7 linked regions of the Neurospora crassa OR74A genome follow. The protein of the gene in region 5 interacts with the protein of the main gene of each other region in a biochemical or structural test. Links are inferred from orthologs where the notes say so. Each region holds a gene or a part of one and is shown on either strand. Other genes may lie near its edges.

Region 1 (4,094 bases), on a different chromosome or scaffold from region 5:
ATATCCAACTACATGCTAATCCGCCTAATGACTACCTTCTGCGTCGGCAAAACCGTGGCCGAATGGCTCAAGGGCCATATGGATTCCGGCTTCGACGTCCTACGGTACGTGGACGTTCGCCGCTTAGTTCAATTTGGCGTCATCAAGGGGTGTTTGTACAGGGTGCACAAGTATGTTATCTCGAAACAGTATCTGGCTGCGCTAGCTACGGGGTTGGCTAGACCTGTTTCGCCATCCGACACCGGAACTGGCACAGGCAAAGGGAAAAGTGGGAGGGGGTATGGCGAAGGGGAAATGGGGAGGGAACATAAAGTGGCGGTGCCGGGCGGACATTATGATACCTATCGTGAACCCGGGAGTCATGGGGGTCCGGGGGGGAAGGGGTCGAACAGCAAGAAGATGGCGATGATGATGAAGGCTAGTGGGGATCCGTTGCAAAAGTATATGGATGGACGACATTGTTTTGATCAGATCATGACGGAGAGGAACATGACGGACGCGGAGATTATGGATAAATTGAGGAACTTTCCGGTGCCGGCTGGGGATTTGACGGTGCTTTATCGGTAGAGGGAATGATAGCATGCAAATAAGAGTTGATTAGTGGTGTTGATAGTTAGCCCGGCTACTGTATGCGAACTCGTCTTCTTAGAGGACAAAAGAACCTTGTTGATTCAAGCAAGAGGAGACATGTTTGATAAAGATCGCTAAACTGTAAACATGTAAACCTCCTTACGTGAGGACACCCGCTGAAGGGGTGTTGTTTTGAGCATCGTCTCTGTGCTGGACTGTCTATCGTCCTCCTGAGCAACCATTATCGCTAGATATTTGATTAAAATATATCTAGCACGGCCCAACAATGACCTCGCCAGGAGATAACACTGCACTCCCTGGACATCCTTCAATCCACTATCCCCTCGACATTCTGTCGTTCATTGTGAATACCGCCGTATCCTTGAGGAACAGCAGATAACTGTCAATCTCCGGTCCACATCTCTGCACCGTCTAGTAAAGAAATTTAAGTTAAGAACCGCCCAGAAGATGTTCGATAGCACCCTGTACGCTACCACCGCTGCGGCGTAGTGCAGCAACGTTCCGATCAAAATCGAAGAAACCCATATCGTTGAGTTGACGCAGCTGCTCAGCATACCTCTCCTCTGGCGGCCTGTTGTCGGGAGGAGCAACGGGATTTCCGCCAAAACCACCCAAACCACCGCCACCAAATGCCTGCATCATCTGCTGCAAGGCCTCAGGCGAGATAGGGGGCAAACCAAAAGGGTTCGCGGCACCAGCCTGACCAGGCTGACCAGCACCTCCAAGCGCTCCGAACAAAGATGCCAACGGATCTGCTTGCTGCCCAGACCCCGAAGTGGCGCCAGTAGCCGGAGCAGATGCGGCATCCCCGCTCCTGGCACTCTCGGTCGAAGCTCCGGTAGACGCAGGCGAAGACCCCGCGGGGTTTCCAAAGAGCGCGGCAAAGGGATTACCTGCTGGGGGAGCGCCCGCCGGAGGAACACCAAATGGAAGAAACATGGCGAACGGGTTCTGCGCATCGGCATTGGCGTTGTTATTACCGGCACCGGTCGTCGCGTTCGGAGTGTTGTCCGTTACCCCGGGCGCTGGAAAGGCGTTGGCGCCTCCGCCCATCATCCTACGCATGCGTGCCGCCATGCGAAGTGCCTCCGGGTTCGTCATCATGTTGCGCATCATCGGAGAGTTGAGAAGCTCGCGAGCGCGATCAGCGGGCATGTTGGCCAACATCGGGTTGGAGGCAATCATCTGGTCGATGACGGCGGGGTTGTTGAACGCCTCGGCCATGACCTGGGCCATCGCTGGGTTCGAGAGCATGTTCGCGATTTCATCCTCGCTAGGAGGCGCGCCCATCTATAAAACATCATTAGTAAACAGCTATGTTAAGGGTCCAGGGGGCCGAGAAAGGGGTGGCGTACTCCTCCGTCCGGCCCAAACAGGTCTCGGCTTGGTAGCGGCACCTGACCGGCAAAGCGAGCGCCTGTGAGGCCAGCTAAAAGGTTATTCGAGGGAGTGCCGGCAGCCATGTTCTGAGGTATCGCGGGCTGAGCGGGTGTCGAGGTTGAGCCACTGCTGGCTGTCGCGGCGCTGGCTGGACGCTTAACCATGTGCACTGTGTTCATGTGCTTGATCTTGTAGAAACTAAGAACTTCATCGTCCTTCATGACCTTTCCGGAGTAGATGAGGCGTTGCTGCTCCGGCGAGATGTTCTCGTATTCCTCCCCCGCTAACAGGGTCTTGAGCTGAAGGACGGTCGCAGACTCGGCAATGGTGACTGTGTGGTTCTTGTCGCCTGAGCATTTTACTTTGAAGGTAATCTGGCCATCGCCGCCAGTATTTGAAGCCTCAGCCATGATTTCTATCGCTTTACGATTCGGCAATGAAACGGTTAATGGCGGTCGTGGATGATGACGTTGGTCTCAGGGGAGCTCCGATCGCCCCACGTTCGAGTTCAGCACTTTGTGATGGGATTATGTGAAAGCCTGCTGCAAAGTCGTTCGTATGGAATTACGATAGCTTCGTGTGCTGGTGAAAGTTGAGGAATGGTGATGCTACGGAAAAGGGTTGTGTTGGGAACCAAAGTAATTGAGTTGTTGTAATGTTGGAAGGTCACAGGCGGAGGCCGATAAGCGCTGCCGCCAACAGTGGCAGGTGGGTGGCATGGCATTAAGAGCCCCTCCACGGCAGGCAGCAGACCCCACTACAAGCCGTCATTAAGGTATACTAGGTAGTGTAGTGTTCACCGAGGTTCTTGCCTTTTTAGGCTTCACTTCTGTCGTTGAACACGACTCCATCCCTAACCCTACCTACCAAGTGCATGTTACAGTACCTTAGTACCCTACTTCAGCTTTCCCACAGGGCCTCGACGTAACGAACGCCGGTCACTAGGCGTATACATAGGTATACATACTACATGGAATCGATGGATGATACGAACGGTGCCTGATTGCAACTTCTGCGTGCCATATAGATGGTGAGCCACTATCTTGTCACCTACTAGTTCCAGTCAGCTGCGACACCTTGATAGTACTCTCCTGCTCTCACACCCATCCGCTTCTTTGAGGTTCTATCGGGCTCTCGGCATCCACATGACCTGACACCTGACCGGTTCCCCCCATCTTATCAGCTTGTCCAGTAGCTTTTGTTATCGCATGTGTGTGATGACAGGGTACTGTCGATTAGCTGCTGCTTCGAACCAAATCCATGTACCTTCTAAACTAATGGACGAGGGCGAATCGTCTCACTCTTTCCCTTGACAAACCTAAACCTCTTCCCTTCTCTGGTTTTGAACAAACTTTCTTCAGATGGCAGACACTTCATCGCTTCTGCCTACACTTTTATTCTGGTGGATGAAAGAAACTCAACGCATCAAACCTCCTACTTTGATGCGCAATCAGCATTCTTGAAGGTTCAGTGACCCTCAGCCGATAGCCGGTTTGGCGAGAATAATCTTTCGTTGATGTCTTCCGTCAAACCTGCACAACAAAATCGTATTCGCAAACTACTCACGTTTTCGGTTGATCAGTAGCGTTTGTTGTTATGGCGGCATTATATGGGCCGTCGCGTCAACCTCAGCGAACTAGGAGGTAGAACATATGGACTATACCAGACAGGTATGTACAGCTCAGAGTGCATGGTCCGTGGACCATGCCAGGATACTCCAGGTAAGTGTATCAAGGATATCGAGCATCTGCTCCTTCACCGCCTTGGTGTAGCCTTGGTGTACATCAAGACACATCTCTAACCGCACTTTAGAGCATACCGCCTAGGCAGTTCTTCTTGCTGCGGGCCAAGCAAGGATACGACGTGCTTAAGCGACCATTGTCTTCCACAAACCTTTGAGATCATGGAACTATTACACTATGATAGGCTGTCCGTCAATGCGAGATGTCGACGCACTAGCAGCGAGTGCCCTCACGTTGATGAGGATTCTTCTTCGTTCGTCCGTCTGAAGTGGAGTTGGCGTGGGCAAGGGCATGGACTGAGGAGGAGATCAGCGCTTTCCCAAGAGATGGCCCGTCAAGGTAGAGCTGCTACGCGTGCGACGCCGGTCATGTGGGTTGTTG
Region 2 (4,251 bases), on a different chromosome or scaffold from region 5:
ATGCGCCAAACGTACCTTGTTTTGTTCCGTTTGAACAACCTTTGTCTTTATCGCTGCTGAACAGAGAGTTACAAGAGGGGCAGAAAAGGGTCACAGTGTTCGAAATCATATTTTCTGTTTGACAGTTGGGCATGTAGATGGGATGCTTCATGCCAGCCTCATCCCCGGAAGCACCATCCATTGAGCGCTTCTCGAGAGTGCGAGAGGTAGATGTGAAAAGGGCAGTTGACCAATCATATCGTGAAACAATCCTCTGACGGGGATATAGGGGTCGAGCACCTGGCTTCAGTTTCCGCACATTGTAGAGCCCCATGAACAGACGCCGTTCCGAAGGTGAGGAAAGTGCACATGTCGTAGCCGTGATATTGACAGTAGAGATGAGATATCCGTGTGTATGGATCCAGGGAAAGGCCGCTCTCGCAACCTGAACCTGTCGATCGCCAGCTGCAAGATGTGATGTGATAGTGAAAAGAGAAACACCCCCGCGTTTTGTAGCGGGGTTCTTCTGTTCTTCATCACTCTCTGTTTCCACATCCGTTGAATGCGGCTGCCTTGAGCGTTATTACCACGCACAAAAGGAGACGAGGCTCGGTTAATTCCATCACTTATACCTCTCTTCAGTTTCCTCATCCCATCATTCTGTCAGGTTGGGCTCAGTATTTCCTCTTTCTTCATAATGGATGAAAGATACGGATAGAAGCGCGTCTAATGAAGAGGTGAAAAGAGGGGTCAGCCGTTGGGCGCCACACCAACAAATCGCTGCACTGGGCCTTCATAGCCGCCGGCTTGTAGCTTTGTACCACACCCGGACTGTACGGGTACCCGAATCATTGGAGGATTGTTTCCGAAAACGGGGACCAGGGCAAGGCATTGAATATCGAGCCATGAAGCAACGCCCATCTGGACGGGCGATATGGATGGAGGGAAGGTGTGGAAAGATGGACTAGGTAGGTAGTGCTAAGCTTATTGTACCTTCCTGGTCTTATAATGGAGCTGCTTCCCCCGTCTGAACATGTGAGGAAGATGCCTGAAGCGATCTGCAGCCGGCGGCTAACTTGGAGAGAGCGGATGGAATCCATCTCTTGGTTTGCCTCTTCTTCGCTCGATTAGTTTCCCGCTTGGATATTCTGGTCCAGCAAACCTCACTGGGTGTCTTCGATTTCAAGCTAAGTGCTAGTGGCTTTCACATTGAACTCCATCTTCGATATCAGAGGCATCTTGTAGGTCTGAATCACAGCTGGAGAGAGCCCGGCCGGTGACAGGGGATGATGGAAGCTATACGGGACTGTCTCCGTAGTTGGGTGGCTCCTTCCCCGGTAGCTGCCGCCTGCCCCATCACGCCCATTGCTGCCCGCCGCCTATCGATGACCTGTCAAGCGGTGCACATATAACATATGACGGGGCCTGGAGGTGCCGCTCTTTCGCTTATACGATGAGCGAGACCGAGACAACTTTTGCAAAAGTTGGCCAGCCATAAATAACAACCTAGTATTGGTTTGAATACTATTACCAAGCAACATCACCTCAGCTTTATGTCTTGTCAATCGTCGAGCGTCGCCAAGGTACCTCTACCTAGGTAGTGACCAAGCCACCCGGCCACATTTGGAGACCTAAGCAACCATAAGGTACCTAGGTACCAGTAGTTCGCCTTGTGCCTACCTACTGCACCTCACCAGTTCCCCGGATCTCCCCCTCCCCAACCCCCAAAGAAGTAAAAAGTCCACAACGTGGTTCTCGACTTTACCGTCCACTCCAACACGGCCAGGCGGCCATCAACGCTCAATCACCACAGCAGAGTTCACAGCAGGGCAACCGCCGTTGGCAAAGTACCAGGTACCCCTCCGCCGCACGCGAGCTCTGACGACACAAGCTGGCTTGTTACCCAAAGCTTACACGAACACGCAACTCTCCTCCCTCTCACAACTCGTCAACCGCCAATCTTTCACCCTTTTCCCCAGTCTGCCACATACCATCGGCAAAGTAGGCTTAGGAAAGCTGCAGTCGTCACGCGGCAGACAACACGGAAAACCCACAAGAACTTGGATTACAAGCCGCCAGAACCGGGACTTTCGTCTTGTCTTGTCCCCGCATTCCGAACTCCATCGAGTCGTTTACCGAACCGAGACGCTGAATTCCAACCGCCCGCCCATACTCGCCCAACATGGTGCAGGCGCCCATGATCTCGGTGCCCCTCAAGGCCACAAGCGAGATTGACTGGGTTGCTCCCCTCAAAAACTACATTCGAAATACGTACGGCGATGATCCGGAGCGCTATGCCGAAGAATGTGCGACCCTCAACCGGTTACGCCAGGATATGCGAGGCGCCGGGAAGGACAGCACGTCGGGAAGGGACCTGCTCTATCGCTACTACGGCCAGCTCGAACTTTTGGATTTGAGATTTCCGGTGGACGAGAAGAACATCAAGATTTCCTTTACATGGTATTGTCCCTTCCAGTGTTCGGGACCCACATCGGTTGCTAACCATCTGCTGCTTCTGTAGGTTCGACGCTTTTACTCACAAGCCCACAGCGCAATATTCGCTGGCTTTTGAGAAGGCCTCCATCATCTTCAACATTTCCGCCGTTCTATCCTGCCATGCGGCACACCAATTGCGAACCGAGGAGGCGGGACTCAAGACGGCATACCACTCGTTCCAGGCCTCGGCCGGCATGTTCACCTACATCAACGAGAACTTCCTCCACGCGCCCTCGTCCGATCTGAGCAGGGAAACGGTCAAGACGCTAATCAGCATCATGTTGGCCCAGGCGCAAGAGGTCTTCCTTGAGAAGCAGATTGCTGATCAAAAAAAGAATGGTCTGCTCGCCAAGTTGTCTAGCCAAGCAGCCGCTCTCTACGCCCAGGCTGTTGAGGGCGTTCAGGAAAACGTCACCAAGGCCATTTTCGAGAAAGTTTGGCTGTCTGTGGTTCAGGTAAGTTGTGTAGGCGTGGGTTCCGTATCAGGAAGGATGGGAAATCTGGGGCAAAACTGACACAAAATATTAGATCAAGCTTAACTTCATGAACTCACTCGCCCAGTACTATCAAGCCCTCGCTGATGAGGATGCAAACTCTTATGGCGTGGCCATTGCGCGTCTTGAAATTGCACAGGGTCTTGCCAAAGAAGCAAACAAGATGGCACACAGTTTTCCCACCTCAGTGCCCCCGAACTCGAATTTGACTTCGGACTGTGGCCACATCCTGGCAGATGCGACCAAAAGACACCTCGCAACTGTCAAGGAAAAGTTGGAGGAACTCAACAAGGAAAATGATATGATCTACCATCAACCCGTACCTGCTGAGGCCAGCGTTGCACCAGTCCCCAAGCTGCCGGCTGCGAAACCGATACCCGTTAGCGAACTATATGCCGGCCAGGATATTCAACGGATCACCGGCCCCGACCTATTCGCGAAAATTGTGCCTCTCGCGGTCACCGAATCGGCTAGCTTGTACGATGAAGAGAAGGCCAAGCTGGTGAGAGCTGAGACGGAAAGAGTAGAAACCGCAAACAGCGAGATGGCGGCTAGCCTGGACTATCTCAGGCTTCCGGGCGCTCTTCAGGTTTTGAAGGGAGGGTTCGATCAGGATATCCTTCCTGACGAAGACTTTAGGACATGGTGTGTGGATGTCGCGGATCACGAAAGCCCTCATAGGATTTTCGAATATCTTCATACCGAAAAGCAGGCCATTTCAACAATACTGGATAAGAGTAGCAGGCAGTTGGATATGGAGGAAAGCGTGTGTGAGAAGATGCGTTCCAAGTACGATGCGGAATGGACTCAGCAGCCGAGTTCGCGGTTGACCACTACGCTCAGAACGGACATTAGGAGGTATAGGGAGGCCTTGGAAGTGGCAGCGAAGAGTGATGGGCAGCTCGCGACAAAGCTTAGAGCCAACGAAACTGAGTTGGATGAGATGCGCCAGGCCGCGCAGCATGGAGAGATCGATGAGTTGTTCCAGAGAGCAGTCAGGAAGTCGCGAAAGTCAAACCCGAATAGCCCCGCCACCGTGGAGCCTAATCTTTTGGAGGCCGATTTTGATGATGGTGGCCCGAGTGTGGTTGAGCAGATCCAAAAGGTGGAAGATATTCTGAAGAAGCTCAGCTTGGTGAAGAAGGAGCGTCTGCAGGTACTACAGGATCTGAAGCAAAAGGTATGTTGATCACTCACGATGAAGAGTCGAGTGTGGTTCATCAAGAGCTGACAAAACAACAGGCGCACAGTGATGATATCTCCCAAATTCTTATTCTCAACA
Region 3 (4,088 bases), on a different chromosome or scaffold from region 5:
TGCCGATATGCCATATCCAAGGTGGAATAGGGCGCGAATGCGTGGCCGCGATGGGAATACTCACGGTCAAGGACCTTCTCGTGGTAGGACCTCTTGGCGACGACGGCAACGGCGGGCGCAATCTGGCGCGCAGCCGGCATGACGGTAGGGCGGACGGCGTTGGCGAGAACGCGGCCGGAAACAGCGCGAACGGATCTGGAAAACATGGTTGCGGATGTGTTGATTGTGATGTTTTTGTTTTGTTTCGTTTCGTTTTGTCTTGGGTTGTTTTGTTGTTTCTGTAGGATAGGTATCGGTGATGCAAGAGACGAGTTCTGGTGATGAGTGGATGGCGAAAAGTCAAAGAGGCCGAGATAAAGAGGTTGGCGGCGGACGGGACTTGGGGATTAAAAGTTGCTGGAATTTGCGGATTTGGCTGCGGATTTGCGGGCTTGCGGCACTTGGTCGCCAAAAAGTCGATGATGACCCAAGGGGGCGACTTGCTGCACTCGGGACTGGGATACGAAAAAGAGGGGTTGGTCAGAGCTCTCCTAACAAAAGCGGAGCACAATCACCAACCAAAACAGCCAGGCTTCTGTTAGGCCAGTGACAAGACGCGCTGCTACGGACATGGGGGGCGTCATCCCCGACGTCGGCTTGGTCGGTTGGACAAAAGAGAGCCAAGACAGTTCTGAGCTCCACTTGCCGCGGAGATAAGATGATCAGATTACGGAACACCGAATGTACCTACGTCTCGCGATTCGGTCGTCGTTGACTTGGAATTCTGGACGATCACTCGCTTCCCTTGGACTTTTTTTTTCCAGCCGACGACAGATGAAAATGCTAAGCACGGGCTTCTACACTATAATGGTACTTAGTCAGGTCCTTGTTCTCTTTTCTTACCTCGTCGAATGGGCATTTCTGTCGCCGTCAAACGTACCTCCCGTCCAAAACTCTGCCTCTTGATTGCAAACTGGAAAATGACACTTTCTTAACAAACCGTATCTGCATTGTCACTGTGTAACGTGCCACAATGTTAAGAAATGCATAACAGATCGTCCACCACCGATACCTAAGCAAGCGCCAATCCCTGCTCCATTGTCCCCAGACTGCAGCACATCATCCCTGTCCGCTGTCACAATCCATGAAACGGCAGCGGGGTTCGAACAAATGGAAGGCGGCAGGGCGAATGCCATGAAGCGCGGTTGCCTGGAACATGGGGATTGGGGAGTGGTTGCTGTCCAGTGCCTGCCGCGTCAGCTAAAGTTACCCCACAACATCATACCTCAGCTCAGCTCACTGCCTGCAGCTACGGCAAGCTTCCATTTTCCTTCACGCTTCTTCCATCTTCTCTTCCTCTGCAATACAACTTCACTTGGCGGTAGACTTCATCCAACAATTCGATGACTTTCTAGTTGTACACAACTACACACCAAGAATACAGACAACATAGCTTGGTTGATTTCATTCATACATCATCGCGAATCCGCCCAACATGTCGTGCCCCCACATCGGGTCCGCAAGTAAGTCTTGCTTATTCCATGTTTGCATGCTCTTTGGAGCTCAGCTCAGCTTCCATCATGTGTGGTGCGCCTCTAACTCAGGACTGGACAACGTATTTCTGACACACCGATTCTAACAGACCTCGCGAAGCCGTCGCCTACCGACAATGTCTACCGCGAGGATTGTACCCAATGCTTCGATTCCATTGTCCGTACTCTATCCTGGCCTTTCCTCTCTTCTTCTAGCCCCATCTACCATGTCCAGCCTAGCAACTAACCGCCTCGCTGTAAATAGGACGACCCAGCTGGTCTGGATGTCTGCTTAAAGTGCTTTAACGGAGGCTGCGCTGGCGACCGGAATCACGCAAAGCTCCATGCCACCTCGCGAAACCACCCGCTCGTCCTCAACATTCGCCGAACCCGCAAGATCATCGAGCGCAATGAGCCGCCTCTCAAGATGTCCAAGCTCGCCATCGCGGCCGAGACCGAAAGCGATCGCTACGATACAACACTTACAGTCAAGTGCTTGGACTGCGGAATCGACAACTTGAACAAGGAAGATGCCACCATCGCCCCCGTCATCGAGGCCGTCATGAAGGCCAACACGTTCTCACGCAAGGAGGAGGTCAAGGCCTGGGAACAAGAGCTCACTACCTGTGAGCACATCTTGACAATGCAGCAAGGAGAGCCTCGCAAGATTGAGTCTCAGGATCTGGGCCATTGCTCCAAGTGCGACTTGAACGAAAACCTTTGGCTGTGTTTGGAATGCGGAAACCTTGGTTGTGGCCGCGCCCAATTCGGTGGTGTCAGCGGAAACTCTCACGGTTTGGCTCACGCGACCGAGACCAAACACGGCGTCGCTGTCAAGCTTGGTTCCATCACCCCCGAGGGAACGGCCGACGTATACTGCTACAACTGCGACGAAGAGCGCATCGATGACAACCTGGGCGCCCACCTGGCCAACTGGGGCATTATCCTTGCCGAGCGCGAAAAGACGGAAAAGAGCTTGACGGAAATGCAGATCGAGCAGAACCTGAAATGGGAGTTTTCCATGACCACTGAGGACGGCAAAGAGTTGACACCCGTTTTTGGCCCTGGCCTGACTGGCCTCAAGAACCTCGGAAACAGCTGCTACCTTGCCAGTATCCTACAGTGTCTCTACGACTTGCCCTCTTTCCAACAACGGTACTATAGCGACAAGCTTGGTCCTCTCCCCAGCGTATCAGATCCTGCCGAGGACCTCGAAACACAGCTTCGCAAGCTTGGTGATGGTCTTCTTTCCGGCCGGTACTCCAAGTCAGACGCCGATGTCTTTGCTTCTGAGCACACTCCCAACGTCCCTTACCAGAAGGGTCTCCAGCCTTCCATGTTCAAGCACCTCATGGGTCGTGGCCACGAGGAGTTCTCGACCATGCGGCAGCAAGACGCCTTTGAGCTCTTGCAGCATCTGATCAAGCTCATCACTCGATCCAAGCATCCAGTAGAGCTTGGTGATCCCACCCAGCCCATGCGCTTCGTCATGGAGCAGCGTCTGCAATGCCTCAACTGCAAGAAGGTCCGCTACAGTAGCAATGAGCAGGACAGCGTCTTCATTGACGTGCCCATGGAGAAGCTTCCACCCGAGGAGGAGGGTCAAGAACCGAAGTACAAGCCTGTCACGCTCAAGCAGTGTCTTGACAGCCTGACTGCCTCCGAGGTCGTTGAGCTGACCTGTGCGGGCTGCGGAAGCAAGGATGGGTTTACCAAGCGTCAAGCCTTCAAGACCTTCCCCGATGTCCTCGTTGTCAATGCCCGAAAGATGGCTGTTGTCAACTGGGTCCCCGTCAAGATTGATGTTCCCGTCATTGTTGATGACGAGCCCTTGAACCTTGACGAATACCTTTCCAAGGGTCAGCAGCCTGACGAAGAAGCCCTGCCCGAGGATGAGTCGGCCAAGAGCAGCGCTCCTGCATTTGTGCCTAACGCGGAGGCGCTTGCCATGCTCGAGGCCATGGGATTTCCACGAGTCCGTGGTGAGAAGGCGCTGCATGCCACAGGCAACTCGGATGCCAACGCTGCCATGGAGTGGCTGTTTGCTCACATGGATGACCCCGATATTGATGTGCCTTTGGACCTCAGTGCCAGCAGCGGTGGTGCGGCTTCAGGAGGCGCTGGCGCGGCTGACCCGGAGAAGTTGGCCATGCTTGAGTCGATGGGATTGTCTGGACCGAGGGCTGTAAAAGCACTGAATGAGACCGGTGGTGATGTGGAAAGAGCCATCGAGTGGCTATTCAGCCATCCTGATGATGATGGTGCGGACGCTGTTGAAGAGGAGGCACCGGCTGGCAATGAGGGGCCAAAGAAGGAGGCGGGCAGTAGTGAGTTGCCAGCCAAGTTCCAGTTGCAGTCGATTGTGTGCCACAAGGGAACGAGTATTCACGCTGGGTAAGTTTCCATCCACGTATTCAGTCACCGAATCACACGCTGACCATGACAACCAGACACTATGTTGCTTTCATTCGTAAGAAGCTTAGCGAGGACGAGACCTCCTGGGTCCTTTTCAACGATGAGAAGGTGGTCAAGGTGGTGGATGTTGAGGAGATGAAGAAGACTGCTTATGTCTACTTC
Region 4 (4,034 bases), on a different chromosome or scaffold from region 5:
CTCCATGGCTTTCCCCGTCCAGCCGCCCATGCCGCGCGTACACGAGACAAGACCTCACAAGATTGCGTCGCCACCGAAGCAGCAGCAGCAGCAGCAGCAACAACTAAACAACTTTGCGCAAACGTCACCATCTACATCATCAAGCCCCTCTCAGCCCACCCCCGTTGCTCCCAAGCAAGAACAATCCAAGGCCGCCGCCGCCGCAGCACAAGCCTCCTCCGCCCCCACGCAACCAACGCCCTCCAAGCCCGCCCCCCGCGCCTCCCGCCTGCGCGCCCCTCGCAAGGCCGCCATCAACCTCACGTCCGCGGCTGTCGAGCACCTGCGCGCCATGCTGGACCAGCCGGAGCCGAAGCTGATCAAAGTCGGCGTGCGCAACCGGGGGTGCAGCGGGCTGGCGTACCACCTGGAGTACGTGGACAAGGCCGGGGCATTTGACGAGACGGTGGAGCAAGACGGCGTCAAGGTCTTGATTGACAGCAAGGCGCTCTTCAGCATCATTGGCAGTGAAATGGACTGGGTGGAGGATAAGTTGAGTCAGCGGTTTGTTTTCAGGAATCCTAATATTAGTGAGTTTTTACCCCCCCCTCTTTTCTCCCTCGATGCTGCGGAAAGGAATTGGGATGGGATGGTGGCTAATGAAAGGGAAAACAGAGGAGCAATGCGGTTGTGGAGAGTCATTCATGGTATGAATAAAGGACATGAATGATATTAAATCTCGGTTAAGCTAGGGGTGGGCCGGGCGTGGAAGCCGAAGCGCCTTTCAGCCGGACAGTCATGCGTGACACGACACGACTTTAGAGAGAGCTACGGGACGGTCTTCACTTCAGTGGCTCCCTTGGCGCATCGAGAACGAAGGACCGAAGAGTTATGTATGGAGCTTTCAGAGTCTTTTTGCGTCATTTGTTAGCGCTCGCGCGCTTGGGGGGGTTTTCTTTCGGCGAAAGCATGGGTACTGGCGTTTGGGTAGAGAGCATTATTCCCTTTATTGTTCTTGTTACTTATTTTTTTTCCATTCTGGTAAACTCAGATATGGACGGCTCTATCAAGGGCCTCTTTACTTATCGGTAGTGTTGCTGTATAATTTTTCTCTCTTTTCCCTGTTGCACCACCATTTATACAAGGGAGAGCAATGGAGAGGCTTATCATCATACTTGATATCTGGCACGCATAAATGGTTCATCCCATATTTTGGCTGTCATGATTACATGCATTCTACTGTGTACCTTTTCCTGCGATGCCCTCTAATGACGCATGCTGTGGTTTTTGATGGCTGATTAATCATGACTTCTGACTTCTGTTCGTGCGGCTCAAATGCGGGCACCTGTCAATTTGCCAACGGTCCAGCGGGAGCTACCCCACATGCTTTATGTATCCCCGCCGCAACACAGTTCCCCACCCACCAACACTGCAGCGGCAGGGGGACAACAGCTGTTAACGCGTTCGAAAATCAATTTACGCCCTCCAAACGCGTCTCCCGTCACCCCCAATTTCGCCATTCGACAACCCATTTTTGCTATTCCTCGGGTCATCTTTTGAAATTCCACCGTTCAGACACATTGAGAAGACCAGATTTTGCTTCAGTCTTGCTTTCATCCTACCCACTGACACATGCGACGCCATGGCGGTCACTTGTCCGATATGTAACCAGGCCGTCAAGGGCCTCGACAAAATCAACAGCCACATTGATTCCGGCTGCCAGTCATTCCTCGAGACAGCCGCCGACAGCGCCACCGCCCAAGCTGAACCACAAAGTAGTGGACAACAGAGTACCCAGAACGGAAACCTACCACCAAGTTCAACCCAAAAGAAACGAAGTGCCGCCGACTTCTTCCAGACTCCTGCCAAACGACTGGCCGTGTCAAAGATACCCATTGCTTCGACACCCCTACCAGTCCATGGAAGTGCTGCTGCTTCGACTGCTGCGCAAACACCGAGGACGGGGACCAAGAGGAGGTTTGATGAGGGACCGGGGTTGGATTCGCCTTCGATAGACGCGGCGAGGAATAGGAATGGAGGAGATGGGAGCGCAGAGACACCACAACAAAACGTGAATACTGGAGAAGGGGGAGTAGGAACAGGAGGAGGAGAAGCACAACCCAGCCCACCGATTCAACCGCTAGTAAAGCGCACAAAACCGAACAACAGATCCGCTCCCTTAGCCGAGCGCATGCGCCCCGGCTCTCTCGACGACGTCTTCGGCCAGGATCTAGTCGGGCCCAACGGCGTCTTGCGCGCGCTGATCGAAACCGATCGAGTCCCGTCCATGATTCTCTGGGGCGGTTCGGGAACCGGAAAGACGACGATAGCGCGCTGCATCGCCCAACGAACAGGTAGCCGCTTCATCGAGCTAAACGCGACCAGCTCAGGCGTGGCCGAGTGCAAAAAGTATTTCGGGGAAGCGGCCAACGAGCTGCACCTCACAGGTCGCCGCACCATCATCTTCTGCGACGAGATCCACCGCTTCACCAAGGCGCAACAAGACATATTCCTCAAACCCGTCGAAGCAGGCACCATCACGCTCATCGGCGCCACCACGGAAAACCCCTCCTTCAAAGTCGTACCCGCCTTGCTCTCTCGATGCCGCACTTTTACTCTCCAACCTCTATCTCGCGACGACCTCCAGCGCATCCTGCTACGAGCCCTCAAACAGGAAATAACCGACCAACACCTGCCCCTCAGCCCACTAATAGACGACGAACTACTTTCCTACCTCTGCGCCTTTGCCGACGGCGACGCTCGCACGGCCCTCAACCTCCTCGAACTCGCTTTATCCCTTACTACCACCACCACCACCACCACTTCCTCCCCCGACGAACCCCTCACCAAAGAATCCATCAAAGCCTCCCTAACCAAAACCCTCGTCTACGACCGCGCCTCCGACCAACACTACGACACCATCTCCGCCTTCCACAAATCCATCCGCGGCTCCGACCCCGACGCCAGTCTGTACTACCTAGCGCGCATGCTCCAATCAGGCGAAGACCCCCTCTTCATCGCTCGTCGCCTCGTCGTCATCGCCTCCGAAGACGTCGGTCTCGCCGACAACTCCCTCTTGCCCTTAGCAACCGCCACCTACACCGCCACCCAACAAATCGGCATGCCTGAAGCGCGTATCCCTTTAGCGCATTGCACCGTAGCGCTCTGTTTGGCGCCCAAATCGACGAGGGCATACAGAGGACTGAATAATGCGTTTTCGGCCCTTAGGGAACCGGGCGTGGCGGCGTTGCCTGTCCCGCTGCATTTACGGAATGCGCCGACGAGGTTGATGAAGGAGATGGGATATGGAGCCGAGTATAAGTACCCGCCCAATTATCGGAATGGGAGGGTGAAGCAGAGTTATTTGCCGGGGGAGTTGGTGGGGAGAAAGTTTTTGGAGGAGAGGGATTTGGGGACCGAGGTGGATCCGGATGTGGAAATGGGGGAGGGGGAGGATGATGGGGAGGTTAATGGAAATGGGGAGGGAGGGGTGAATGGGACGACGACGTAGGGTGTGGTTTTGTTGGAATAGTACGATGTCTGGTTTGGCTTGTAGTGCATGAATAATGTGCATTTGAAGCGTCCAAAAAAAGGTTATGGATAGGCTGGCGTTTTGGTGTTAAATGTACATGTTGGTATAGCATTCATTGTTGGACGTTAGAAAGATATGGAGTTGATGACTAGATACTCCAGAACTAGCCGAACTTGGTTGAACAAGCGATTGTGTGTTGATAGTGCCGGATTTGACGTCTTCCACTTAAGACACAATTCAGCCCTGGTTTGGTTGTTTTGTGTTGTTTGATAGGTTGGTACAACGAAAGACGCCTCTTCTCAATGAAGATGCAAAAAAGCATTCGGGCTTTGAGTCTAGCGGATGAATGCCGTGGGGATACTCTCTTTTCGTATTTTTCAGTTTTGAGCATCATGAAGCAGGCGGACAGAGAGGCATAAAAAATAGAGGCTGTCGTGACCGTTAAGCCCTCACTAGCCGTCCCTTCAAGCGAAGGGTTTTCTGAGTAAGCGAATGAGAACTCTGGATGTTTAAATGCTCTTTA
Region 5 (4,146 bases):
CTGGTTCTTCACAGGTTGTCATGGAACCGACTATGGGAAGGGCCACAGAGCAAACGAGTTCTCGAGTCTTGTAGAGTTGCCTTGGGTTGTGTGTACTTGTTTCATTTCAAAGACGCAAGTCATTACCACGCAAAGAAAGCCGTTGGCTCGTTGGTTCTGGATGAGTGGAAAAATGCATTCCAACTCTTACGATAGAGCCTAGGCCAGACGAGTACATAAGTACTCAAGATCAATGAGTGAGAAGGATTGCGAACGGCAACCAGGCACCTGCATTGAACTTGGTTCACTACACGCATTGACAATAAAAAGTATCATGTACACCAATCTGATGACGTTCAGGGTTGTCATTTGATCATGGGATGTCACAACCCGAGCCGAATGGGTGTATTGAACGGACCGTAAGGACGATTCCCGCATTTGCGAAGACGGGAGTTGTAGGCGTGACTGCGCGGGAGTCCCCGGGATCCCGTGCAGGAGGTGATGCCGGCCCCGGTCTCACCCGAGGTGGTTGGCAGGCCTAGTAGCGGGCAGGGCGGAACTCGTCACTTGGCTCCAGGAGTTTGTGATGTTGTGCTGCACAGCTTACCTCCCTCTACTGTACATATTACACTCGTGCGTAAAGGACCCAGCATTCTGATCGATGATGGTAACTCGCGATACTATGGATCATGCGTGAACGGAGGCTAGAGACCGTCAATAGCGGAGCGACCCTCCTAAAGTGCGGGGCGGTGGAGCCAAGAAAGAGGCCACGATAATGCTGGGCGATAACGGGAGGAACGGAGTCACGACATCATCGGTCGGGGGCTGGTGGGAACCCTTATGGCCAGGCACTGCAGTCAGGAGGTCTCCCATCTGTCACCGGTCTTGAATCCTTACCGGCGTCAACAGCCACGGTCGGTCGGAAAGCCGATAGAAAAGCGAAAGAGAATACCTGGTAATAGCTCCCCGTTCCCGTCCGGTTCAGTTGTCGGTGTCCCGCCATGAACACGGAGAACTAACGAAGCTCATCGTCGCACCAGACGGAGCGCTTACCTCAGCAGCCTTTGCAAAGGTCGGTGGAAGAACCAACCGTGAGTCCGTGACACCAGCTGAGCATTCTGTGGTTTACAGTGCCAGCTGACTCGCCCCTTTACTGTCTGGAGCTGAAACGATGCCTGGCCGGGATGCACCTCCCGTCCGGTTGTTCTTTCGTTCGACGACCAACACCTCGACCCCTTTGGTGACACTCTTTGTGGTGTTGGTTAAAGACAAAGTCACAGGTCTCTTTGATTTTATATACTCATCTTCATGTCTTCTGGTCATTTCCTCCATTGCTGGAAAATTGCGATCCAACCGTTCACTCTTCCCTGTTTGCCTCTCGGTGCCCTCGATCGGACCACGTCATTGACCGCTCACTTCGTTGGGGGGTTCGCTTATCAAATGCGGGGAACCAGCAAGGTGCACGTCGGTATTCCATGATGCCAGCTGGACTGCTGCTGTGTGAAGCATCGAGCAAGAGGCCATCAACAACCTGATAGAGGGAACAATTATAATAACATGGAGAGAAGCTTGTCAAGATGCTGGCAAAGTAACGAGAAGTCGAGATGGCACTCTCGGATTTGTAAACAACTGAAACTCGAAGGTCCGTCGTCCAGCCACATGCAGATCATTCTTTGGCTTATTCATCCAGAGAGAACCTAACTGAAGCAGGGCAAACAGCCCGGCTGAGGTGACTGACGCATTGACGGGCAAACGGCTGGGTGAGTGCCCGCCACTGCAGAAGGCGTTGACAGTGCGATCAATCAGCCGCGGTCACTGTTGGGGGGGATGTCCAACCACTCCTGCCAACGGGCAACAGCCAACAGTCAAGGGGGAAACTGTCGTCTGACTGGCTTCTTCTCGCGCCTTCCCTCCACTTCTCTGTCACTCCCAACCGCCAAGTGGCTTGTGCGTGGCCTGTCAGTGAAGGTGAGTGACACACCACTCACACCGTGGCAGGCGTTGCAAACGGACCAGTGACGATCGACTTGGGACCTGGCACCTTTCCGCTTCCACTCCAGTCCCGTCACCTCTTCCCCTTCACTCAGCCCCCCCGCTTCGCTTCCCTTTCCAGGCAGTGGAAGCCTGGCCCCTCCAAGTTCGCCATCCTGATTCCTGCCACTTCCGCCGCAGCCAGCACCTGAACCTACTTATTTAATCCTCCCCGCCCATCTGCATCCCCGATTCCATTTCTTCCGCTTTCACCATCTCTCTCCATCGCCATCATCGCAGGAGTGTTCATCCACGCACATATCATTCCCGCCACTCGATTCTAGTCATTTCGCTTCATCCATCAACAGTCCATTCGTCCACTGCACAACCCCCATCATGCAGATTTTCGTCAAGACTTGTAAGTTATCGCACGCTCACCGCATCATCACTTTACCATCGATCGACCGATGCTAACTATCTCTTCGCAGTGACCGGCAAGACCATCACCCTCGAGGTCGAGTCGTCGGATACCATTGACAATGTCAAGCAAAAGATTCAGGACAAGGAGGGCATTCCCCCCGACCAGCAGCGCTTGATTTTTGCCGGCAAGCAGTTGGAGGATGGCCGCACCCTTTCCGACTACAACATCCAGAAGGAGTCTACCCTCCACCTTGTCCTCCGCCTGCGCGGTGGTATGCAAATCTTCGTCAAGACTCTTACCGGCAAGACCATCACCCTTGAGGTGGAATCGTCCGACACTATCGACAACGTCAAGCAAAAGATCCAAGACAAGGAGGGCATTCCTCCCGATCAGCAGCGTCTCATTTTCGCCGGCAAGCAGCTTGAAGACGGCCGCACTTTGAGCGACTACAACATTCAGAAGGAGTCTACCCTTCATCTCGTTCTTCGTCTACGCGGTGGTATGCAGATTTTCGTTAAGACGCTTACCGGCAAGACGATTACTCTCGAGGTTGAGTCTTCCGACACCATCGACAACGTAAAGCAAAAGATCCAGGACAAGGAGGGTATCCCACCTGATCAGCAGCGTCTCATTTTCGCTGGAAAGCAGCTCGAGGATGGTCGCACCCTCTCCGACTACAACATTCAGAAGGAGAGCACCCTGCACTTGGTGCTCCGTCTTCGTGGTGGTATGCAGATTTTCGTCAAGACCTTGACGGGCAAGACGATTACGCTGGAAGTCGAGTCTTCGGATACGATTGATAACGTGAAGCAAAAGATCCAGGACAAGGAGGGTATCCCGCCTGACCAGCAGCGTCTGATCTTTGCTGGTAAGCAGTTGGAGGATGGCCGGACCCTCTCTGATTACAACATTCAGAAGGAGAGCACTCTTCACTTGGTGCTGCGCCTCCGTGGCGGCCAGTAAGCGGATTGTCGTCTTTGTTTCTGATTCTTGATGACGAGCAAGGGTTCATTTGGGCGTTCAGCGTTTATTGGGTTACTTATTGCATCCATGGGTTGGGAAATGATGACAACCATGAAACAGGGCATATCTAGCCGAATCTAATGGCACACGCTTCATACATACAGCGATGCCATAATAAAGACTATATTTACGGTCTCAAACATGATGTCTCTTGGTGATTTGCTTGTGTCTCAATTCGTGAGCTTTTGTTATTCCCGTCAACCTGTCATCTGGTCAATTGGGGATGGAGTCGGACGTGTAAGTCAAGATGGTGGTGCAGTGGGTTGGTACACACCGTGCGAGGTGACCGTTGCGTGGCCGAAAGTGGCGCCCTTTTTTGGTGGACAAGATGCATCATACGTGAAAGATACGTACCGACCGCCGAGTTCAGTTCGCGCTAGTCCGGCCGTGGAGCCCTCCCTCCCCCCCTGTGAAGGACGATCCAACGTCCAACGTCCAACGTCAAGTTCGTAGTTGTGGAAGGTTGAATGTGAAGAGGACATCCGGAAGGACCTCTCATCCTCTCTAATCACCAGGGCAAGAACCATCACTGCATGGAGTTTGGGCACACATGAACCTGCAGAGATAGGCATCGGCGACTTGATTGACGTAAGGCCCGCGTCCAAGGTGTCTTAATCGACTCTTCATCTTCTTGATCCTTCTCTGTCCTTCTCTTGCTCTTCCACTCTTACAGTCAACGCAATACTCTCAATATTACACTTTCATCAGATTTTTCATCAAAGCATTGTTGTTTCTCGACCATCACAACAAGG
Region 6 (3,947 bases), on a different chromosome or scaffold from region 5:
GCCGAGTAGATCTTGAACAGCTTCGAGTTGATATCCAGGAATGCCCTGCCGTAAGAAAACGGAGCCAAAATCTCTTCCGCCCACTCCAAATGACCACAGATGGCAAAGGCCGCCGCCAGCGCCTCCACGCAGTTCAGCCGAAACGGCTTACCATAGTTGACCGTGTTGGCCGCCACGAGGTACGGCAACAAGCGCTCGCACTTGCCGCCCACCTTTTTCCACTCCACCTCCTTGGTGCGGGCCCACGAGCACTCCACCACCGCCGCGCCATACTGCTCCATCAGCTCCTTGTCGGCGGGCGACACGACCCGCTTGCCGTTGGGCGTGATGATGACGCCCGAGTGTCGCTGGCCCAGGTGCAGCTCGCGCATGAGACCGAGTTTCATCAGCTTCTTGCCTGAGCACCGCTTCGGGTCGCAGTGGCCTAGGTCCCAGCAGGCGGCCTTGAAGGGAGGGCGGTAGGGGCGTGAGGACGTGGACGGGTCGTGAGGGTTGGCTGTGGTGTCTTCGCCGCCGCTGCCGGCATTGTCTCGGGGGCCTTTGCTGCTGCGGGGGTTGTTGCGGGGCGCGTTCCGACCATGGCCGCCTTTGCCGCCGCGCGAGGAGAAGCCGTCCTTTTTGTGGCGGACCATAGTGGTGATGGTTTGAATTTCGTCGGGAGGATGGATGTTGTCGAGATGGAGTGCCGATGGTTTTGGCTCTGGGGTTGAAGCTTGTAATTGACGGACTTTTTTTTATGTCGCAATGGATGGATGATTTTGGCACGACCTAGCACTGCCTTGCTTTACCAGGGCAGAACTTGGATGGAAATATGCGTGCCGTCTTGGACCACAATGCGAGCTGCTTGCGCTACAAGGTTGAAGTGGCAGATGGCGAAAAAAGTTATGGATGCGATTTGAAGACCTTGACGACATCGCATTTGGGGTTCAGTTGGTGCAGGTGGGGTGGACAGGTGGGTCCGCTGAGGATGTCCATGATTGACGTCTTCCCCGGATTCATGCAACTCACCGATTGTTGCTGCGGAAGATGCTCGATTCGCAAGCGTCTGCCGCGCTTACACCATGCTGGAGGCGCTTGTCGAGGTGCTGTGGATTGAAATTGCAGTGTATTATTCATCCACAAAGATAGTATTCTTGTAACGCAGTCTCGCAACGTACCGATGTGCGGCTCCATTTTTCCTTGCGCCCCAACAACCTCAACGGCAGGCAACAGCGCAGGCCCAAGCCCAACCCGTCCGTCCAGAGCACTGAGAGGGGTCCACGACCTGACCTAGCCGTGTAAGCTCCCGTCCCCTAGCAGCAGTAGGCCTCTCCTCCTTCCATCAGCCAGCGATCCAGGTGGACACATTCCCGTTACCTCTAGGTACAGAAGTTCGGATCGAATCATAGTCCAGTCTCTGGGTGTATAACGAAGTATCAAACTGTAGTAGTACCATACCATACCTCTACTCACCATACTTGGTAATAATCCCAACGGCTTACCGGGAAGAGGGGGAGCTTCACTAGGTACCTACCTTACCTCTAGCACACAACTCCTCTAGACTACACTAGAGCTTGACCGACCAAAGGCTTGGTTGGGTCCTGGTTGCCGCCATCCATTACCTACCTATCCAGGCGACTCCCGCCAAGCTGCGCAATCTGGCCCCAATACCTCCTCGGTCTCTTCAGTCTCGTCAGTCTCCTCATCCACCACTCAACACGTCCCGACTCCCCGAGAACGCCGGCAACATGGAGGCGGCGTCTGCCCGCTATGCCACGCGCGACCGGTGGGCCGAGATGGGCCGCCCGGCCCCGTCCCAGCTTCAGCGCTTCATCACGGCCGCCTGCAGTCCCGACAACTACGAACCCAACTTGGCCCTGAACCTCGAGATCGCCGACTTGATCAACTCCAAGAAGGGTTCCGCCCCTCGAGAGGCCGCCGTGGCCATCGTCAACTACATAAACAACCGCAACCCCAACGTTTCGCTGCTGGCCCTCAACCTGCTCGACATCTGCGTCAAGAACTGCGGCTACCCCTTCCACCTCCAGATCAGCACAAAGGAGTTTCTCAATGAGCTGGTACGCCGCTTTCCCGAGCGGCCCCCGATTCGCCCCACCCGTGTCCAGCTCAAGATCCTCGAAGCCATTGAGGAGTGGCGCTGTACGATTTGCGAAACGAGCAGATATAAAGAGGACTTGGGCTTCATCAGGGACATGCACCGCTTGCTGAGCTACAAGGGGTACACCTTCCCGGAAGTCAGAAGGGAGGATGCTGCTGTGCTTAACCCGAGTGATGTAAGTGTTCCGTCCCGATTCCATGGGTCATTGTTGAAGCGTGTCTAACCTATCTGTCACAGAACCTAAAATCTGTCGAGGAAATGGAAGAGGAGGAACGCGAGGCGCAGTCCGCCAAGCTGCAGGAGCTTATCCGTCGAGGTACTCCCGAGGACCTCCAGGAGGCTAATCGACTCATGAAGGTCATGGCTGGCTATGACACGAGATCCAAGGTGGATTACCGCGCCAAGGCGGCCGAGGACGTGGGCAAAATCCAACAAAAAGCGAGACTTCTCGAGGAGCGGTTAGAAGCCTTTCAACCCGGCGACAAGATCGTGGATGGCGATGTGTTTTCCGAGCTCGCAGCCGCCCTGTCTAGCGCCCAACCAAAGATCCAGAAGATGTGCGAGGAAGAATCAGACGACCATGAAGCAGTCGCAAAACTTCTCGAAATCAACGACAGCATACACCGAACTGTGGAGAGATATAGGTTGCTGAAGAAGGGCGATATAGAGGGTGCCAAGGCATTGGCAAGTGGCGCGCCAGTTGCAAGCACAAGCAACGGCAGTGGAAGTGGTGCTGGCAAGAGTGCGGCGCAAGAGCTGTCGCTCATTGATTTTGATGCTGAGCCAAGCGGGGGGGACTCGACCAGCCAGTCCGCACCCCAGGGAGGAAACAGCCTCGACAACGACTTGCTTGGCCTGTCGCTGGGTGAAACCAGCTCTTATGGTCAAGGAGGTGGCATTGCCCTCGGGTTCGGTGCCAATACGAGTATGTCACTCGCTGCTTTCCGTGCAAGAGTCAAAGAGAATGTTGCTAACAGATCACCACAGACATTCCTGGACCGGCACTGCTCTCATCCACCACGCAGAACAGCACCGCACGGGGCCCCTCCCCTCAACCTGGCCCATCCTCTTTCAACAATTTCAACTCATTCGCATCACCAGTTGCTTCTCAATCAAGCACCCCCAAGCCTCCCGCGTATACAGCATCCGCTTTTTCCGCGCCAGCTGCGTCGTCAACAGCGTCCAACGACCCATTTGCTGCTCTAGCCTCTCTCTCCTCTTCATCTACCCCGGCGCCAGCGCCAGCACCAGCTGCTACCGGTAATGACGATGACGAGTGGTCTTTCTCCTCGGCACTGCCTCCTGAGGCGACACCCGCCCAGCCTAAGGAGCACAGAGCCGTTGTTTCTAACACTGCGCTCAAGGTCGACATGGTGGCTGTCAGATCTCTGTCCAATGGCCCATCTCCAGCCATTTCTATGCAATTTGCTTTTAGCAACAACACAGCGCAACCCATCACCGAGGTGCATTTCCAGTTGGCTGTCACCAAGGTAAGCTCACTAATCTGACCCTTGGCACTTTGACCAAAAATGTTTTGGGCTACGTTATGTGCCTTCGTCAGTTGTAGAAAGCCCTCAAGCGAGATGCTAATTGTGATGCTTGAACAGGGATACGAATTGCAACTTCAGCCTCAAACAGGACGGACTCTTACCCCCAAGCAGAGCCGGGGCATTACCCAGTCAGTCAACGTATGGTATACGGCGGACAAGACCAGGAAGGTAGAGAGCGTGAAACTCAGGTGGAGGGTATCATACAAGGTTGGAGCGGAAGCAAAGGCCGAGATGGGTGAGATTCCCGAGTTCAGTGTGGCATAAGCAGGAACTTTGGTAAGAACGAGGGCCACAAGAAT
Region 7 (4,028 bases), on a different chromosome or scaffold from region 5:
AATATGTTTTAGTGATTACGGATACGGAGAGCGGTGAGTAACCTGCAGGCCTTTTTTTTTTCTTTCTTCTGAAAATCCAAAAAAATCAGTCTATATGGTGTAACACCACCCGCAGACACGATACTTCTGGCCGTGCTGATTTGGAGTTAATGCCCATGTGCTGACCCGACTTATTGCACACCAGGGGTTTTCACGGCCACATTCCTCCGAACGCAGATTTGATCTTGTGAGTTGTCTCCTGTATGCCACATATCTTGCTCCAGCTTGTCTCTACAGTCAAGGTAGCGGCGGGCAAGATAGCGTCAGCAAGGATACGAGCTAATATGTGATAGTGACGTATATCTCAAGGGTCTCCAGTAGCTGGGCGGTTCACTGATCTCGGGAAAAGGAGACGAGGTCCTTAGTTCAACGCCTCCAACGAGCCAAAGTAGGGACCGCTGGGCAAGAAACCACTGGAACTTGAAGTTCTTTTGGGAAGATAGATTTTATGTCGGTGATGGCGATGACGAAAACACAGATGGTTGGTGTTTACGTTGCGAGGAACCTTGATGGGTAAAGACGAGGAATTAATTGAATGACGGGAGGTTGAAGCGATACAGGGAAGGTTGAAGTACCCGCGCAGCTATGTTAATATGGAGAAGTACCTACAAGCGCCTCATTGAATGTGATTGGCTCACTACGATAAGAGAGCACAAGTTGCCTGCCGGATGGGCTGAGTGGCTGGTCCTTGCTTACTGTACCAAGTACGTTTTACCGCCATCGGTACATCGGGCAAGTACCTCTAGTGCATGACCGCCTCGTACCGTCTACTGCCAGGGGTGTTAGTAATGATTCGATCCTTCTATTGCTGTCCTCACGGTTCCTTCCAGGTTCATGCGCGCGTGAACCACAATACATATTGGCTTCCCTTCAGCATCAATGAGACTCTGAGTCAAGGTTTATCCGATCAGATAGGAGACAGGGCACAGCCAGTGTGAAACGAGGTTGGGTCGAGGTAGAGGTACCTAGAGGTACATAGCTAGCATAGCCACTTCCAGACGTACAACCTAGTAATAGGTGCGAGGCCGCATACGGTGAAGGCTACAGCACACTGCACTAACAGCAGTACAGCGACCTGCACGCTGCAGCGGTAGGTGCTTGGCCAACGACGGACAGTGCATCACATCACCATTCCCCGCAGTTCTCCTTGATGCTTGACAGCTGGTGGCGGGGCTGACCGAACCTCCCTCGACATCCCCGCCGCCCGACCTTCCAGATTACAGACAGCTTCCACTTCCACTTGCACTTGCACTTGCACTTGCACCTTGACATAGTACGACATAGTAGCACTTGCGCTTGATCCGTCGTCTGTTTTCCCGAGTCATTCAACTACAACATCGGCGTTTTCTTTGGACCAACATCGCCAACTTGAAGTATCACAATACCCGACCACTGCGAATCAACAACTTTAGGTTCAGTTCTCGTTCTTGTTTTTGCTCTGTTTGCGTCACGAACTTTCCACCATCTATAATCTACCGGCCCGCCCGTAATCAACAGTCGCCAAGCTGGGGAAGCGCAAAGTATCCGAAGGGGACCTACCCATCTCTCTAAAGAGAACCATGACAGTGAGTTGAAACCCCGTTTGTCTACATGAATCCTACTTGGGATGGCAGATGCTTGTTCCTGGTAGCTAGCGCCAGTCAGTCTGACACTTTCGTGATGCCCATCTCCCAGGACACTCAGAAAAACGAGGTCGACCTTGTCACCAGGATGCAAGTCGACGAATCAGTAGCCGGCACCACGGCCGAGATTGATGAGTCCCTCTACAGTCGCCAGCTCTATGTCTTGGGCCACGAGGCCATGAAGCGCATGAGCGCTTCCAACGTCCTCATCGTCGGCCTCAAGGGCCTCGGCGTCGAGATCGCCAAGAACGTGGCCCTTGCTGGCGTCAAGAGCCTCACCCTCCACGACCCCGAGCCCGCCGCCTGGGCCGACCTCTCCGCCCAGTTCTTCCTCCGCCCTGAGGATGTCGGCAAGCCTCGCGACCAGGTCACCGCTCCCCGCGTTGCTGAGCTCAATGCTTATACCCCCGTTCACATCCACCAGTCGCCAAGGTAGGTTATGAACCGGACGGGAGTGAGCTTGACAGGTTCGGTAGCTAACCGTGGCCTCTGTACAGTCTCGCCGATAACCTGTCGCAGTTTGACAAGTACCAAGTCGTCGTCCTTACGAACCAGCACACCGATCTCCAGACTATTGTCGGCGAATACTGCCACTCCAAGGGCATCTACTTTATTGCTGTCAACACACACGGTCTCTTTGGCGGCATCTTCTGTGATTTCGGCGATAACTTTACTGTCATGGACACGAACGGCGAAAACCCCGTTAACGGTATCGTGGCTGGCATCGACGAGGAGGGTCTCGTTTCTGCGCTTGACGAGACCAGGCATGGACTTGAGGATGGCGACTATGTGACCTTCTCGGAGGTTGAGGGTATGGAGGGACTCAACGGCTGCGAGCCCCGCAAGGTCACCGTCAAGGGCCCCTACACCTTCTCTATCGGCGACGTGTCGGGGCTTGGCCAGTACAAGAAGGGCGGTCTCTACCAGCAGGTCAAAATGCCCAAGACCATCGAGTTCAAGAGCATTACCAACGCGCTCAAGGATCCCGAGTTTGTCATCTCCGACTTCGCCAAGTTCGATCGCCCTCAGCAGCTTCATATTGGATTCCAGGCTCTCCACGCTTTCGCCAAGTCTCAGGGACGTCTACCAAGGCCGATGAACGACGAGGATGCGCTTGTGGTTATCGCCTCGGCTAAGGAGTTTGCCAAGCAGCAGGGTGTTGACGTCGAGTTCGACGACAAGCTTCTCAAGGAGCTCAGCTACCAGGCTACTGGTGACCTTAACCCCATGGCCGCTTTCTTCGGTGGCCTTACTGCCCAGGAAGTCCTCAAGGCTGTTTCGGGCAAGTTCCACCCCATTAAGCAGTTCATGTACTTCGATGCGCTCGAGGCTCTTCCCACCAACTCCAAGCGCACCGAGGAACTCTGTGCGCCCACTGGTAGCAGGTATGACGGCCAGATTGCGGTCTTTGGTAAGGAGTTTCAGGAGAAGATCTCGAACGTCAAGCAGTTCCTTGTTGGCGCTGGCGCCATTGGCTGTGAGATGCTCAAGAACTGGGCCATGATTGGTCTCGGAACAGGCCCTGAGGGTAAGATTACCGTTACCGATATGGACTCGATCGAGAAGTCCAACTTGAACAGACAGTTCTTGTTCCGTCCCAAGGACGTTGGTCAGATGAAGAGTGACTGCGCGGCCAAGGCCGCGCAAGCTATGAACCCTGACCTCGAAGGCCACATTGTTTCTCTCAAGGATCGCGTTAGTCCCGAGACCGAGGAGATCTTCAATGAGGAGTTCTGGCAGGGTTTGGATGGCGTCACTAACGCGCTGGACAACGTTGAGGCGAGAACGTATGTCGACAGACGGTGCGTTTTCTTCCACAAGCCTCTCCTTGAGAGTGGTACCCTCGGCACCAAGGGCAACACGCAAGTGGTGCTTCCTAGGCTCACTGAGTCCTACTCTTCCTCCCAGGATCCTCCTGAGCAGTCGTTCCCCATGTGCACTCTCAGGAGTTTCCCCAACAAGATCGAGCACACCATTGCTTGGGCTCGTGAGCTGTTCGAGAGCTCATTTGTCAAGCCTGCGGAGACCGTCAACCTCTACTTGACCCAGCCAAACTATCTCGACACTACCCTGAAGCAGAGTGGCAACGAGAAGGCGACGCTGGAGATGTTGGCGGACTTCCTAAAGCACGAGCGCCCGCTCACCTTTGAGGATTGTGTCCAATGGGCTCGCATGCTCTTCGAGAAGCAGTACAACAACGCTATTCAGCAGCTCCTTTACAACTTCCCCAAGGATTCCGTGTCCTCGACCGGTACCCCCTTCTGGTCCGGACCCAAGCGCGCCCCTGACCCGCTCAAGTTCGACCCTGAAAACCCCACCCACTTTAGCTTCCTCGAGGCTGCTACCAACCTCCATGCCTTCAACTAT

Evidence for each region.
Region 1: the proteins of ubi (region 5) and NCU03028 form a complex in vitro, tested with the Saccharomyces cerevisiae proteins (14 studies listed by BioGRID, with this or other methods). The link is inferred for Neurospora crassa OR74A from reciprocal best matches to the Saccharomyces cerevisiae genes UBI4 and DSK2.
Region 2: the proteins of ubi (region 5) and NCU08001 form a complex in vitro, tested with the Saccharomyces cerevisiae proteins (2 studies listed by BioGRID). The link is inferred for Neurospora crassa OR74A from reciprocal best matches to the Saccharomyces cerevisiae genes UBI4 and BRO1.
Region 3: the proteins of ubi (region 5) and NCU05777 form a complex in vitro, tested with the Saccharomyces cerevisiae proteins (3 studies listed by BioGRID). The link is inferred for Neurospora crassa OR74A from reciprocal best matches to the Saccharomyces cerevisiae genes UBI4 and UBP14.
Region 4: the proteins of ubi (region 5) and NCU08706 form a complex in vitro, tested with the Saccharomyces cerevisiae proteins (2 studies listed by BioGRID). The link is inferred for Neurospora crassa OR74A from reciprocal best matches to the Saccharomyces cerevisiae genes UBI4 and MGS1.
Region 6: the proteins of ubi (region 5) and NCU06105 form a complex in vitro, tested with the Saccharomyces cerevisiae proteins (2 studies listed by BioGRID). The link is inferred for Neurospora crassa OR74A from reciprocal best matches to the Saccharomyces cerevisiae genes UBI4 and GGA2.
Region 7: the proteins of ubi (region 5) and NCU04370 form a complex in vitro, tested with the Saccharomyces cerevisiae proteins (4 studies listed by BioGRID, with this or other methods). The link is inferred for Neurospora crassa OR74A from reciprocal best matches to the Saccharomyces cerevisiae genes UBI4 and UBA1.

Annotation. Positions count from the first base shown.
Region 1 is NC_026501.1:8,392,116-8,396,209, forward strand, and holds NCU03028 (deubiquitination-protection protein dph1), read right to left. Parts: upstream 2,651-4,094; 5' UTR 2,382-2,650; coding exon 1,947-2,381; intron 1,882-1,946; coding exon 1,021-1,881; 3' UTR 568-1,020; downstream 1-567. Other genes in the region: NCU03029 (hypothetical protein), read left to right, coding at 1-567. UniProt on the Saccharomyces cerevisiae protein: Involved, with RAD23 in spindle pole body duplication. Involved in the ubiquitin-proteasome proteolytic pathway.
Region 2 is NC_026504.1:3,874,816-3,879,066, forward strand, and holds the start of NCU08001 (vacuolar protein-sorting protein bro-1), read left to right. Parts: upstream 1-1,451; 5' UTR 1,452-2,161; coding exon 2,162-2,439; intron 2,440-2,500; coding exon 2,501-2,930; intron 2,931-3,003; coding exon 3,004-4,149; intron 4,150-4,211; coding exon 4,212-4,251. UniProt on the Saccharomyces cerevisiae protein: Class E VPS protein involved in concentration and sorting of cargo proteins of the multivesicular body (MVB) for incorporation into intralumenal vesicles. Fusion between endosomes and the vacuole will then target the cargo proteins to the vacuolar lumen.
Region 3 is NC_026507.1:3,794,955-3,799,042, reverse strand, and holds the start of NCU05777 (ubiquitin carboxyl-terminal hydrolase 14), read left to right. Parts: upstream 1-1,288; 5' UTR 1,289-1,474; coding exon 1,475-1,502; intron 1,503-1,621; coding exon 1,622-1,689; intron 1,690-1,776; coding exon 1,777-3,905; intron 3,906-3,961; coding exon 3,962-4,088. Other genes in the region: NCU05778 (iron sulfur cluster assembly protein 1), read right to left, coding at 65-206. UniProt on the Saccharomyces cerevisiae protein: Required for the adaptation to the presence of glucose in the growth medium; mediates the degradation of enzymes involved in gluconeogenesis when cells are shifted to glucose-containing medium.
Region 4 is NC_026502.1:3,748,261-3,752,294, reverse strand, and holds NCU08706 (AAA family ATPase), read left to right. Parts: upstream 1-1,448; 5' UTR 1,449-1,621; coding exon 1,622-3,490; 3' UTR 3,491-3,534; downstream 3,535-4,034. Other genes in the region: NCU08707 (iron sulfur assembly protein), read left to right, coding at 1-569, 655-692. UniProt on the Saccharomyces cerevisiae protein: Involved in the maintenance of proper DNA topology and chromosome integrity via annealing of single-stranded DNA breaks. Modulates DNA polymerase delta during replication or replication-associated repair.
Region 5 is NC_026506.1:3,143,698-3,147,843, forward strand, and holds ubi (ubiquitin), read left to right. Parts: upstream 1-1,346; 5' UTR 1,347-1,621; intron 1,622-1,689; 5' UTR 1,690-2,346; coding exon 2,347-2,368; intron 2,369-2,438; coding exon 2,439-3,334; 3' UTR 3,335-3,886; downstream 3,887-4,146. UniProt on the Saccharomyces cerevisiae protein: Ubiquitin exists either covalently attached to another protein, or free (unanchored).
Region 6 is NC_026507.1:1,783,576-1,787,522, reverse strand, and holds the start of NCU06105 (ADP-ribosylation factor-binding protein GGA1), read left to right. Parts: upstream 1-1,147; 5' UTR 1,148-1,727; coding exon 1,728-2,273; intron 2,274-2,335; coding exon 2,336-3,023; intron 3,024-3,085; coding exon 3,086-3,588; intron 3,589-3,705; coding exon 3,706-3,912; 3' UTR 3,913-3,947. Other genes in the region: NCU06104 (RLI and DUF367 domain-containing protein), read right to left, coding at 1-632. UniProt on the Saccharomyces cerevisiae protein: May play a role in the regulation of membrane traffic through the trans-Golgi network.
Region 7 is NC_026504.1:3,604,379-3,608,406, forward strand, and holds the start of NCU04370 (ubiquitin-activating enzyme E1 1), read left to right. Parts: upstream 1-1,228; 5' UTR 1,229-1,598; coding exon 1,599-1,604; intron 1,605-1,713; coding exon 1,714-2,093; intron 2,094-2,158; coding exon 2,159-4,028. Other genes in the region: peptidyl-prolyl cis-trans isomerase fkr-3, read left to right, coding at 13-33, 185-226, 333-360.